Linked DNA regions of Sus scrofa. The protein of the gene in region 1 interacts with the protein of each later gene in a pairwise test. Links are inferred from orthologs where the notes say so. Each region holds a gene or a part of one and is shown on either strand. Other genes may lie near its edges.

Region 1 (3,643 bases):
GGCACGGTGGTCGGCTGCTGAGACGCCCAGCGCTGTCCCGGCCTGGGGCGCAGCTGAGGGTGAGTGTTCCAGCTCTGGGGCTGTTCCTGGACCAGGTGCCCAGGAGGAGGCGGCACTCGGGGAGCAGCTCGGGGGCACGAGAGCTTGGGGTTCAGCCTTGGGGGAGCTGGGTCACGCCTTCCATGGAGAGTGTTGCAGGATGGGTTGCCCACGGCAGTGGGGTCCTGGGCCCCCCCAGGGTCACCTCTCTCTCAGAGGAGGCTGTCCAGCAGCCCAAGGGACCCACCCAAGGTCACACAGGGGCCCCCTCTGGCATCTCCCAGCAAGGAGTGCTGCTGACCGGGCCCAGAGCGGGTCGGGGCCTTCGGGAAGGCAGACCCACCAGAGCAGAGGCCTGCGCCCAGCAGGACACCCGCCTCCTGGGTGTACTGCCCGGGGCGTGGGGCCTGCAGGCAGAGGGTCTGGAGCCGGAGCCCTGTCCTCCCAGTGCGGCCACGGGGCAGGGCCTGGGGCTGGCCAGCCTGCTCGAGGCAGCTCTCGGATCCCCCCTGAGAGGGATTTTCATGGGTGGCCTTCAAAGGGACAAAGCACAACAGCTAGAAAAGACAGCGTCTGTTCTGCTCAACAAGCTGGCGGTTACTCTAGGTTTTCTGTAGGATGCGGATACCAGAACCGCTTTTCTCTCATAAAACGATAGTGTGGGTTATGTCCCCTAAATCTTGCTAAATTAACAAAGTCGGGCTGTGGCTGTGTCACTGGTGCTCATCTGGGAGAAGTGAAACTAGTCCCTGAGGCCCTGGGACCCCACTTTGCTGGGGAGCCTCGGCCTGAGTGCGGGGTGGCCTCCTCCATGGGTTGCCTTCCCCGAATGGCTGGAGAAGGGGTCATAGGCGGGGCTGGCACTGGGCAGAGGGCAGCGTGCTTTGCTCCTTCTGTGTGGTCTCAAGGCAGGCCGTTCGGGCTGGCTCCCCTGGCAGGCCCAGATGCTGCCTCCATAGAGAGGACAGACCCCTGAGTGGGCTGGAGGGCAGGCCAGCTCCCCGCCAGGGAAAGTGAGGGAGCCCGTGAGTGGCCAGGAGGCAAGGAGATCCTTGTGGGGGGCGGGAGCTCTGCCACGCCCGTGTGGCCTGGCACCCATGGCCGTCCTCATGGCCAGAGGGCAAAGGCAGTACTTGGGATCCGGGCAGCCCGTCTGGGTGGCAGTGTCCACCACGGCCCCAGTGATGTGCAGAGGCAGCCAGCTGGGGACAGGCTGTCCCGAGCGAGTGCTGCCTGGAGGCACTTCCTCGCCCCAGGAAGCCTCTGAGGCCAGGCCTGCAGAGGGGACAGACAGGCCGGGGCAGATTGTAAAGCCCCCCACCCCAGCCCAGTACGGGGGGTCTTGGAGCTAGAGACACCTGACCTGACCTGATCTGGAGCAGGGCAGTCCCTTCCAGAAAGAAGGGGTGCTCAATGAGGTCCCCGAGTGAGGTCTGGCCCAAGGAAGGCTCAGGAGGAGCACCGATGGCCCCAAGGTCTGATGGTGGGAAGGGGGCTCCAGGGACGCAGGCTGGGCTGCAGGTGGGTCTTCTAGGTGGACAGGGCCATGGCTTCCTGAGGGGGGGCCTGCGGCCGCCTAGTGATCACACCCGGGGTGCTGGGCAGGACAGGCCACGGGAGGTGGGGGTGGGGGGACTGCGGGGCTGCGCCTCAGCCTAGCTGCCTGTCTGTTCTGACAGATCCTGAGGCAGGCAGGCACCTGGGCCTGTGCTCACCCAGCCAGGGCCTGGGTTCCAGCCCAAGATGGCTGAGGCAGCAACCGGCCTGAGCTAGAAAGCCCAGCGCAGACGAGGCCCAGACTCGGGTGGCGAGGCACTGGGTGCAGGTCAGGACAGGCTGCGCCTCCTCCCTCAGCAGCTAAGATGCCAGGAGGCCCCTCTGGGCAGTGTCAGGAGAGCCCGGGGAGAAGGTGACTGCCAGGTCAGAGGTGCTGTGGGGACAGGGCCAAGCCAGGACCTGAGGGCTGCTGGCAGTGCCCCCCTCTCAGCTGCAGAGCCTGCAGACCCCTTTCTGGGAACACTGACGGCGTGAAGCAGAATGGCGGCAGAGCAGGAGTTCCCACTGTGGCTCAGCGGGTTATGAAGCTGACTAGTATCCATGAGGATGAGGGTTTGATCCCTGGCCTCGCTCAGTGGGTTAAGGATCCCGAGATGCTGTGGCTGTGCTGTAGGCCAACAGCCGTGGCTCCAATTCCACCCCTAGCCTGGGAACCTCCACATGGCCACGGGTGTGCCCCTAAAAAGAAAAGAATGGGGGCAGAGCAAGCCCCCTCCCCTCTGCCCGAGCGTCCTGCAGCGGTGCTCTGGCCAGCAGGGCGAGCCTCATGCAGGCTGGGGCCCTGCCCTGACAGCTTTCTCCTTCCTCTTCTCAGGCCGTTGGCAGCACCTGCTGTCAGGGAGGCTGTCCTGAAGACACAGTGCCCACCGTACCCTCGCTCTCTGGCTGCTTAGAGCCTCTCCCCGGCACTGGGGCCAGGACCTCCGAATACACCCCCGCCCAGGCCACCCAGCTCCCCCTCCAGCCACACCGCCTCACTAGCACTGACCCCAGGAAGGCTGGGGGCACCGCGGGAAGGCCAGCCATGGCTGCCCCCAGAGCCCACCCAGGCTCCTGAGGCCTGGAAGGCAAGGGGAGCTTTTAGGAGCCCAGGGTCCTCTGCCCATTGCCCTGGCCTCCCTCCACCTCAGCGAGGCGCCTAGGAGCTGCCACTTTGTTATCTAGGTAATTAGCTTCAGACCCTGGACCAAGGCCAGCCAGGTCCCGGACTCTTAACCACAGGCTGTGCACCCTGACCCGGGGAGGCCCTGCCCGCTGAGCAGCCGCTGTGCCAGGGCCCTGGGAAGCAGGCTGCAGGTGCCCGCCCACGCTGCCCTCTCTGCCCAGGGCCTGTGCCCCTCATGACTGCCCAGGCCTAGTGACGGGGTGGGGCCTCCTGACCCAGCCTTGCCAGGGGCAGAAGGCACCCAGGCTTGGGGAGGGGATGCCCCCACGGGTACCCGTCCAGCCAGCTGCCCCACCCCTCAGGCCCAGCCTGGTCCCCGCACTCCCCCGTCTGGTGCCCCCAGCAGCCCACTTGCCAGGCAGCCCCCGCCATGGCCGAGCACCTGGAGCTTCTGGCAGAGATGCCTGTGGTGGCCAGGATGAGCACACAGGAGCGGCTGAAGCATGCCCAGAAGCGACGCGCCCAGCAGGTGAAGATGTGGGCCCAGGCTGAGAAGGAGGCCCAGGGTAGGAAGGGCCAGAAGGAGCGGTCGCAGGAGGAGGCAGCCGGTGGCAGGCGGCAGAAGCGGGTCCTCTTCCCTCCCAGCGTTGCCCTTCTGGAGGCAGCTGCCCGCAACGACCTGGAGGAAGGTGAGTGGGGCTGAGCCCCAGGCCATCCACGGCCCCGGCCCCGGCCCCTCACCCGGCTCAGACCCCAGAGGTCTGCCTGCCTCACAGAGCCCCAGGTCTGTCCCTGCTTCTTCAGCCCCTGACGCCTGGTGGCCGGTGACCTCAAGGGGTAGCCCTCACGGCGCGGGCTCCTGCTGCGAAGGTGCCGCCAGGCGGGGTGGCCTGGGGCTTGGCTGGGGGTGCTCGTGCTAGAGTGCTGCTGGGCGTCCCTCGG
Region 2 (3,643 bases), on another chromosome or scaffold:
TTTGCAGGGTGGGAAAGCAATTGAGTTTTGCATTGCTCGTTGGTGGGCAAGTCTTAGTGACGTCAACATTGATTATACCATTTCCTTCCACGGGATAGTATGTACTGCTCCTCAGTTAAACATCGTAAGTTTCACATTTCCTTAACTTTTAACGTCAGTTATTTGTGTTGTTATGAAGTGATTTCAGTGCTTGGATTTAAATTTTAATGGGGAAATGACCTATGATTCTAAAAGAACACTAGTCCTTGTTATGGGTGCTTATAAACTGCATTGGACACATTTATTTTAGGTTAAAGTATTGTTTAAAAATGCAGTTTATTTTCAGTGATGTTTGAGCAACTCATGTGATAACTATCCTTTGTAGCATGCATCAGAGGGAATCAACCGTTTTGATGTTCAGTCCTCCCTGAAATATGAAGATCTGGCTCCCTGCATAACTTTGAAGAGCTGGGTCCAAACGCTACGGTATCTTAACTGTCTTAGGGCTGCAGATGTTGGGTATTGCTGTGGGGGAGGCGGGGGGAGGGGATCTCTTCCCTCTTTGGAAAGGGTCTTTTTTTAATCCTGTGAAGACTGGAGCTGAAAACTCAGTTCATGACTTTGCAGCCCAGGAGGCCTAGCAGGTCTCCGAGAGGCAGCCCCAGCCCCAGCCCCAGCCCCAGCTTCAAGCCTTCAGTGACACACATATACAGCCCTTGGCATGGCGCCTGGCAGGACCCTCCTGCGTGAGGGCAGGAACATCTGTGGACAAAACCTGACCTTCAGCACTGTTAGGGATGAGTGCCCTAGTGTTGGGATCTGATAATGTCAGGACTTCTAGTTGACAATTGAAAATGCTTTTATCATGAAAAGATTACCTTTAGGAGTTTGTGCTGTGGCTCATCAGGTTAGGAGCCCAGCTAGTGTCCAGGGGGGTCCAGCATTGCCATGGGCTGTGGAGTGGGTTGCAGACACAGCTCGGATTTGGCGTTGCTGTGGCAGTGGCATAGGCCGGCCACTGCAGCTCCGATTTGACCCCTAGCCTGGGAGCTTCCATGTGCCCCAGGCGCGGCCCTAGAGAGAAAAAAGGAGAAGAAGAAGAAGATTACCTTTGTAATACTGTAAAATTGAGCACTATGTATTGCTGTGGTTCTGTCAATAAAGAATTACGTTGATGTTAATGATTAAAATATTATAGCATGTACTGCAGAGTGACAGTGTCCATTTGTCACTTACTGTGATATGTTACAGATTTTGCTGATTATAGTTTTGTCTCATTTAAGTGAACTCTTGAATCTTATGCAATTGTCTGATTACAGTCCACTGAGTGCAAAAACAAAGCCTTTAGGATCAAGAGATGTTTTGCCAAATAATCGTCAGCTCTATGAGATGATCCTGACATACAACTTTCATCAAGTAAGTGTTTGTATAACCAAGTATACCCTAAAAAGATAAATAAATAAAGTATATGTACCCTTATAATCACCTTTGTTTTATGATTCATAAAATCCAAAAATGAAAGAATAGTGTATTTAGTGTTTGTATACACACATATATGACATAGAATCAAGTAATTAACACTGATTAACATAATTATTCTGGAGTTCCCATCGTGGCTCAGTGGTTAACGAACCTGACTAGGAACCATGAGGTTGTGGGTTTGATCCCTGGCCTCGCTCAGTGGGTTAAGGATCTGGCATTGCCGTGAGCTGTGGTGTAGGTCACAGACGCAGCTCAGATCTGGCGTGGCTGTGGCTGTGGCGTGGGCTGGCAGCTGTAGCTCCAATTGGACCTCTAGCCTGGGAACCTCCATATGCTGCAGGTGTGGCCCTTAAAAGCCAAAAAAAGAAAAAAGAAAAAAAAAAAAAAGAAACCGCATAAACCACGTCAAGTAATCAGTCTTATTCTTTTACAGCCCAAGAGTGGGGAGGTCACTCCAAGCTGCCCCCTGCTTTGTGAATTATTATACGAGTCAGAATTTGACAGCCAGCTGTGGATTATATTTGACCAGAACAAAAGACAGATGGGTTCCGGCGATGCCTATCCTCATCAGGTATCAAGTGGGCAGTGACTCAGAATTAACAGAACTAGTACACTGCAGGTGGTTGGTGGGGTAACGTCCCTGGTTTGAAATGCTGGTGTGGCTGTGCACTTGGTGCATGGAGCCGCTGCTCGTGGCCCAGCCGTCTGCTGTAGAACAACCATGACGGCTTCTCAGCCTACAGTTCGGCTGAATCAGGCGCTGGGCTCGAGGAGCGCCAGGGTCACGCTCGCAGGTGCTGGCCGGCAGAGCTTTTATTTTTAGTATTTCTCCTTCTTACCCGGTGCTTGTTCCCATCTGATCGCTGAAAGCAAATCACCCTGATATATGAGTACCTCGATGCGATCCCATGACTGAACTGGGTCCAGAACAAGGCGACCCTGCCAGGTGTCTACAGTTTATTAGAACTTTGAAATATATTTCTTCTTGGTCAGCTGTGTAGTGAGCACTTAGTGTATGCCAGGCACTGTGCCTGTCACTGTTGTGTTGAAGGGAAAAACAAATCTTTTAATCATGTAATTTATAGAAATCTTATCCCTGATTAAAGTGTTATGACAGAAATGAGGTATTTCCTGTGACATTCACAATTTTATGCTAAATAATAGAAGTAATTTATGCAGAGTGTTTTTAGTTAGTCGTTCGATGAATAATTTCCTTTTTTCCTCAAAGCGAGGCCCAGTCATGTCTCCTCAGTACAGACTGGATTATTACAGTGCCATTACTACTTTGGTTGCTTTTAAGATCTTGGGAGAAACTGCTGTTGCAGAATACAGTGTTCCATCCTCTTGAGCAGGTTAACTAGACGGAGCTTGGTGGATTTGTATTCCTTGATCCCCACTGGCTCCCTCTTTCCTGTCTGCAGCAGAGGGGTGTGGCATTTTGATTATAATCCAAAGCCTATCAGTCATATGTGTGTGTATGTTGGTCTTGGATACACAGCACCTTAGTTTTGCTAATTTTTGGTGGTGTTTTATACGTGTCCATGAAGACCCCTGAACTAGAAAATCTTTGCCTTTATCAGTCTTGAGCAGACAGGGATTTAGCTTGGCGTGTAGGAGTGAGTAGCCTGTTGTGGGACGAATGAGGGCTTGGGAGCCAGAGCTGCCTTCAGCCCCCTTATCTACTCTGTACGTGACCTTGGCCAGGTTACCTGACACCCCAGGTCCTGCTTGCTTCCCTGCAGTCGAGACCACGTGCATGTAGAAGTAGGTGTAGTAACTGGCCCTGAACCTCATGTACCGTAAGCAGCCTGTAAGTGGTAATTCTTACTGTTTATCCTCTGACTGTAATTTTCACTTACCCAGCTAAACTCTTCCCAAATGTTTTCTCTTTTGTAGTATTCTTTGAAACTGGAGAAAGGAGATTATACAATTCGACTACAGATTCGTCATGAGCAAATCAGTGATTTGGAGCGTCTTAAAGATCTTCCGTTTATTGTTTCTCATAGGTTGTCTAATACCTTGAGCTTAGATATTCATGAAAATCATAGCCTTGCACTTCTAGGGAAGAAGAAATCAAGTAACTTGACATTGCCACCCAAATATAACCAGCCGTTCTTTGTTACTTCCTTACCTGATGACAAGTAAGTGATGGTAACATTGCTTATACTCGCTGTCCGTCTTC
Region 3 (4,417 bases), on another chromosome or scaffold:
GATCTGACATTGCTGTTGCTGTAGCATAAGCCAGCTGCTGCAGCTCTGATTTGACCCCTAGCCTGGGAACTTCGATATGCCCTAAAAAGCAAAAATAAACAAATAAATAAATAAAGCAACGCCAGAGCACATAAAAAGATCTCATCAATGTCAGCTATTACTAGCAATAGGTGAGCGGGAGCAGCACTGCCTTGAGCTTGAGACAGCATCTTGTTTGATTTTTGTGGACAAACACCTGAGGAATGAGTAAAGATTTCCCATCTGACCACCTCTGAGAACGGGCCAAAAAACTCTCGCTTACCTAGAAGCTTTGCGTGGCTACTCTTTCTCCTGTATTTCTAGAGGCAGAATTATGTGGTAGAAAGACGAGGTGAACAACGAACTGTTCTGAGCCTCTGTGCTTCCTTGTCCCTCTCTTCCGCGTACCAGATACTTAGTGGGAACTGCAGGCACAAAGATAAATTTAGTTTACCCTATAGCAGCTCACAGTAGAGTGTAGGAGATAAAAATGCAACAACAATTATAAGATACGATGATGAAGCAATATAATGAAGGTATTTTTTTCTTGCTCAAAAATACACTGTGGAAAAACAGTAAGCTATGTGAAAGCGCTCTGTAGAGAGCAGAAAGCAGTTCCCACGTAAAACATTATTACTGCTGACCCTCAGGGCCCAATTTAATTTATTTCATCTAGGAACACCAGGGCAACCAACCTTGTGGAACCGTAGGGTAAAAATCCCTCATTTGCAATGTCAAGCTTTTCCAGCAGAGTAACCCCATTCTTGCTTCCCAAACGCGCAAATCCAGTTTCAAACATGGGTAATGCAGTCTGTGTTTCCCGCCTAACAAGACCCGGGAATTGGCTTGCAACACCAGGATTGAAACCAAGAAAAGAAAGGCGAGGCGGGAAGAGCACAAGAACTACGTCGTCTGCTGAGCGCCCAGCCTCAGGGAGCTGGGAAGCGGAAGGTCAGCCCTGCCTACGCGCGCCCTGCGTAATGGGAGCTTTCCCAGAGCATCAAACCCCCGGGAGCCTTGAGGGCGCCTGCGCAGCCGCGACGATTCGGCGCAGTGGAAGTGGAGAGGGAAGGCGACGCACCTGCGCAAAGGCGGCGACGCGGCGGCGGCAGAACCGAGTCTAGTGCGATTGCGCCGCGGCTGGCGGACGGGGGGGGCGCCGCGAAGGAGTGCGCCGTGCGGCTGCGCGGAGGCCTGCGTGGCGCGGTGGCGGGGAAGGGCGGTGTGGAGTGAGTGGCGCTGCGGGTGGGGCCGTCGGCGGCGCTGGTGAGCTTTGCGGAGTTGGGCGGTGCCGAGGAGGAGGAGGTGGCGGCTGGGTCTGACGCGGCCCGGTTCGTGGGGGCTCCGCTTGTTTATTTATTTATTTATCGTGTGTGCCTCCGAGTGTGCGGCGCTCCACTACTTGGTGGGGAGGGGGTGGGGGAGGGCCTGGGGGAAGGGGGAGTTGGAACCGGGGTCGAAACGCCGCGTGACTTGTAGGTGAGGGAACGCCGAGCGGTCGCCGCAGCCTCTGCCGCCGAGAAGCCCTTGTTCCCGCGGCCGGGAAGGAGCGTCTAGTGCCGACAAGATGGCGGACGGGGAGCTGAACGTGGACAGTCTCATCACCCGACTGCTGGAGGGTGAGTCGGGGCCTGGCCGGCCGCGGAGAGGGGAGGTTCCCTCAGCCCTGCTTCCTCCTCCGCCAACCGGAGCGGGCGGGAACCCCCTTTCCCGCCCCAGGGCGGCCGCCGAGGAGCGGGCTAAGAAGCTGGTGGGCCGGAGGAAGCGGGCTCCGGGAACACGGCCCGGGGTTGGGGTGGGGGGGTGGGGGTGAGGCGGGCGAGAGGGGCTGACCCCGCGGGCGGGCAGTGCCCCTGCGGACCTACGGGGACCCGCACAGCGGCGCGCCGAACGCGGGTAGAGGAGCCCCGGGCTGCTGGGTGACCCTTCCCAAAGAGGGTGCCAGGATGCGTGCTCTTGTGCTTTGTATGCCGGTGGAAAGTGTATTCCTTCTCTGTTCTCTTTGTGCCTTGCCCTTGGCTGCCTCCGATTCTTGTTCTGGGAGTGGATTTTATAAAACCTTCTCCTTGAGAAAACTGTTTGATCTGTTCTGCATTTTTTACTTGATGCTTCCAGGACCAGCTCTATTTAAGGAGAAGATGGAGTTGAGTAGCTTTCATTTATTATTTAGCTTTAAAAATGAGTAAAACAAAAGTATTTGAGCGAGCTGAAGATGCACGCAAGAAATACGAAATATGTAGACATGTTTACTGAAGCGCTTGGTTTTCGGGTTTGAGAATTTAACAGGTTTGAGCAGGCTTTAAATTCTGCATAAACTTAGAAAAGGTCGATTGTCAAGCTTCGCTTGTGTTTAAAAGATATTTACAAGTCTTCACAGCTTTTGAAGTTTCTGGGCCCTTCTGTTTTTATTGGATAGTTTTATGTTAGGGTAAAGAGAAGAGATGGAGCGGCCAGGATGTTACTCAAAGTCAATCGCGATTTTCTGCCAGTGAATCCCTTTGCCCTGAAGTTTGCGTCATCGCTAAACTGCTTTTAGAGTGTGTAGAAAAGAAACTAAGCTATTAAAAGAAAAAAATGTAGAGTCCTCTCTCAGAAAGCGTGGAAGGGTTGCATGTGCATTGTTACTTGCTTTCAAATTTCCTGAAGATAAGTGTTTGGTACAGTGAAGCAGTGTGTGCTTACATTTGGAAAATCTTCACAGAAGATTATATGTTTGAGGGGCGGCGGAGAGGGCGCTAGTTCTTTTTTATCCGCCCATGTGTGTATCTCTTCAGTTCTGTGTGTACCGTTGTGTAACAAACTACAGTATATTTGTTCCAGATGTGCAAGCGTTCCAGCAGTCTAAGACTGAGTAAAAAGCCTTCCTGCAGTCGTAAGACTGAATAAGGAGCAAAGTTTTACAGGGAACTCTTGTTTGCCTTTCCTTTTGCTATCAAGTTATTCTTGGGAGGCCCCCTGGTGCCTACAGTCCGTGTTCACTGTTAAAGACTGCGGATTTTAACAGATGTGAACATCTTACTGGGTCCACGAGACGTTTGCTTTGGGGGAAACATTTTGTTTGTGTGTGTGTAGCTGTGCGTTATTCTAAGGGGGAAATACAGCTATGTAAAATTTTTAGTGTCTTGTTAACTTTGAGGGATATTTATGCCCACCACCAACTGGTACAAAAAACTTTTATACGTTTTAAACTTAGCTTGTAAAATTGAAATATTTGAAAATCCGATGCTTGTTATCTCAACTTCCTCACTTTTATTTTCCATATATTTACATATTTATATACTTAATAGACATAAAACACAGTAGACTTAAGTGTTTTGAAATATTTAACAGGGGGCCTTTTGTCAGATGCACCTTTTTATGATTTAATTAAGAAACTTCACTAGTGGATTTTTCAGGGGTTTTTAGAAAAAAGGTATCATGGGGGAAATAGGCTAAGTAATTTGTTTCTGTGAATTCAAATTACATGAATATTCGGCTCTGGTTTCAGATGATTTCTTTCTTCCCTTCCTTTTTTTTCCCCTCCCTTTCTTTCCTTCTTTCTTGATTTCTAGTCCAGACATTTTCTCCTTTTAAATTAGCAAACATTTATTGACCTGCTTTGTGCCAGTCACCAGGAATCCAAAGATAAGAGACAATCTCTTCACTCAGGGAACTCCCAAATCCAAACAAGGGACTTTTCCGGCTTTTTTAGCCTGCTCTTGGGCAGTGAAGAATGTCATTACTTGCTTCTTAATCCCAGGAAGTATATTTAGTTTTGACAGTGCCTCCCTGGGATTCTTAAATTCTTCAGGCTTCTCTTATTCCCCTTTCCAAAATCTAGACCTATTCAAAGACATCCAAAAACTGGCTTGGATTTTCTAATAAGTAATTATTTTTAGTCTTCAAATAAAATCTTTTTTGTCTGCCTTGATTTTCAGTGATGTTACATGCTAACTAAATTTAACTCAAATTCAAGTAAAGCTGCCTAGCAGAATAGCTGTAGGTGGTGTTGTTGTTTTTAGTATTAAATGAAAGTACAAATTAAAATTTGCCCTAAATTTCTCTGCATTGGGGCAGAAATCAACAGAACACTTTAAAATGTTTTTTGTAGTTCCACAATGCATTCTTGACTTTTTAAAAAATTATGTCATATTGGCAGTCAGCTACAAAACTTGTAGTAATCTTTTGAGTTGCTTTGTGTTTTTTAGATGGGCAAATTATGTAAATTTTCAGTATCTTTTACATTTAAATGTTTTATTATTTAATGCAAAACAGTGTACTAATTTATTGTTTGGATAATGCATATTCTTCTAGTGTATTTTCTTGGAGTAAGTTTTACTTACTAAGAAGCCAAAGATGCTTGTCACTTTGTCCCCTTTAGTGATCCTGGTACCACGTTCTTGTGGCTTGTGCTTTTGAC

What was found.
Region 2: the proteins of PPP1R16A (region 1) and TPP2 interact in binary tests that used the Homo sapiens proteins (3 or more experiments, as listed by UniProt). The two-hybrid records come from large-scale screens. The link is inferred for Sus scrofa from reciprocal best matches to the Homo sapiens genes PPP1R16A and TPP2.
Region 3: the proteins of PPP1R16A (region 1) and PPP1CB interact in binary tests that used the Homo sapiens proteins (3 or more experiments, as listed by UniProt). The two-hybrid records come from large-scale screens. The link is inferred for Sus scrofa from reciprocal best matches to the Homo sapiens genes PPP1R16A and PPP1CB.

The regions. Positions count from the first base shown.
Region 1 is NC_010446.5:306,422-310,064, reverse strand, and holds part of PPP1R16A (protein phosphatase 1 regulatory subunit 16A), read left to right. Parts: exon of another isoform or gene 1-59; intron 60-2,410; 5' UTR 2,411-3,131; coding exon 3,132-3,390; intron 3,391-3,643. UniProt on the Homo sapiens protein: Inhibits protein phosphatase 1 activity toward phosphorylase, myosin light chain and myosin substrates.
Region 2 is NC_010453.5:70,984,600-70,988,242, forward strand, and holds part of TPP2 (tripeptidyl-peptidase 2), read left to right. Parts: intron 1-7; coding exon 8-124; intron 125-364; coding exon 365-465; intron 466-1,298; coding exon 1,299-1,395; intron 1,396-1,894; coding exon 1,895-2,032; intron 2,033-3,357; coding exon 3,358-3,602; intron 3,603-3,643. UniProt on the Homo sapiens protein: Cytosolic tripeptidyl-peptidase that releases N-terminal tripeptides from polypeptides and is a component of the proteolytic cascade acting downstream of the 26S proteasome in the ubiquitin-proteasome pathway.
Region 3 is NC_010445.4:110,471,545-110,475,961, reverse strand, and holds the start of PPP1CB (serine/threonine-protein phosphatase PP1-beta catalytic subunit), read left to right. Parts: upstream 1-1,573; 5' UTR 1,574-1,585; coding exon 1,586-1,637; intron 1,638-4,417. UniProt on the Homo sapiens protein: Protein phosphatase that associates with over 200 regulatory proteins to form highly specific holoenzymes which dephosphorylate hundreds of biological targets.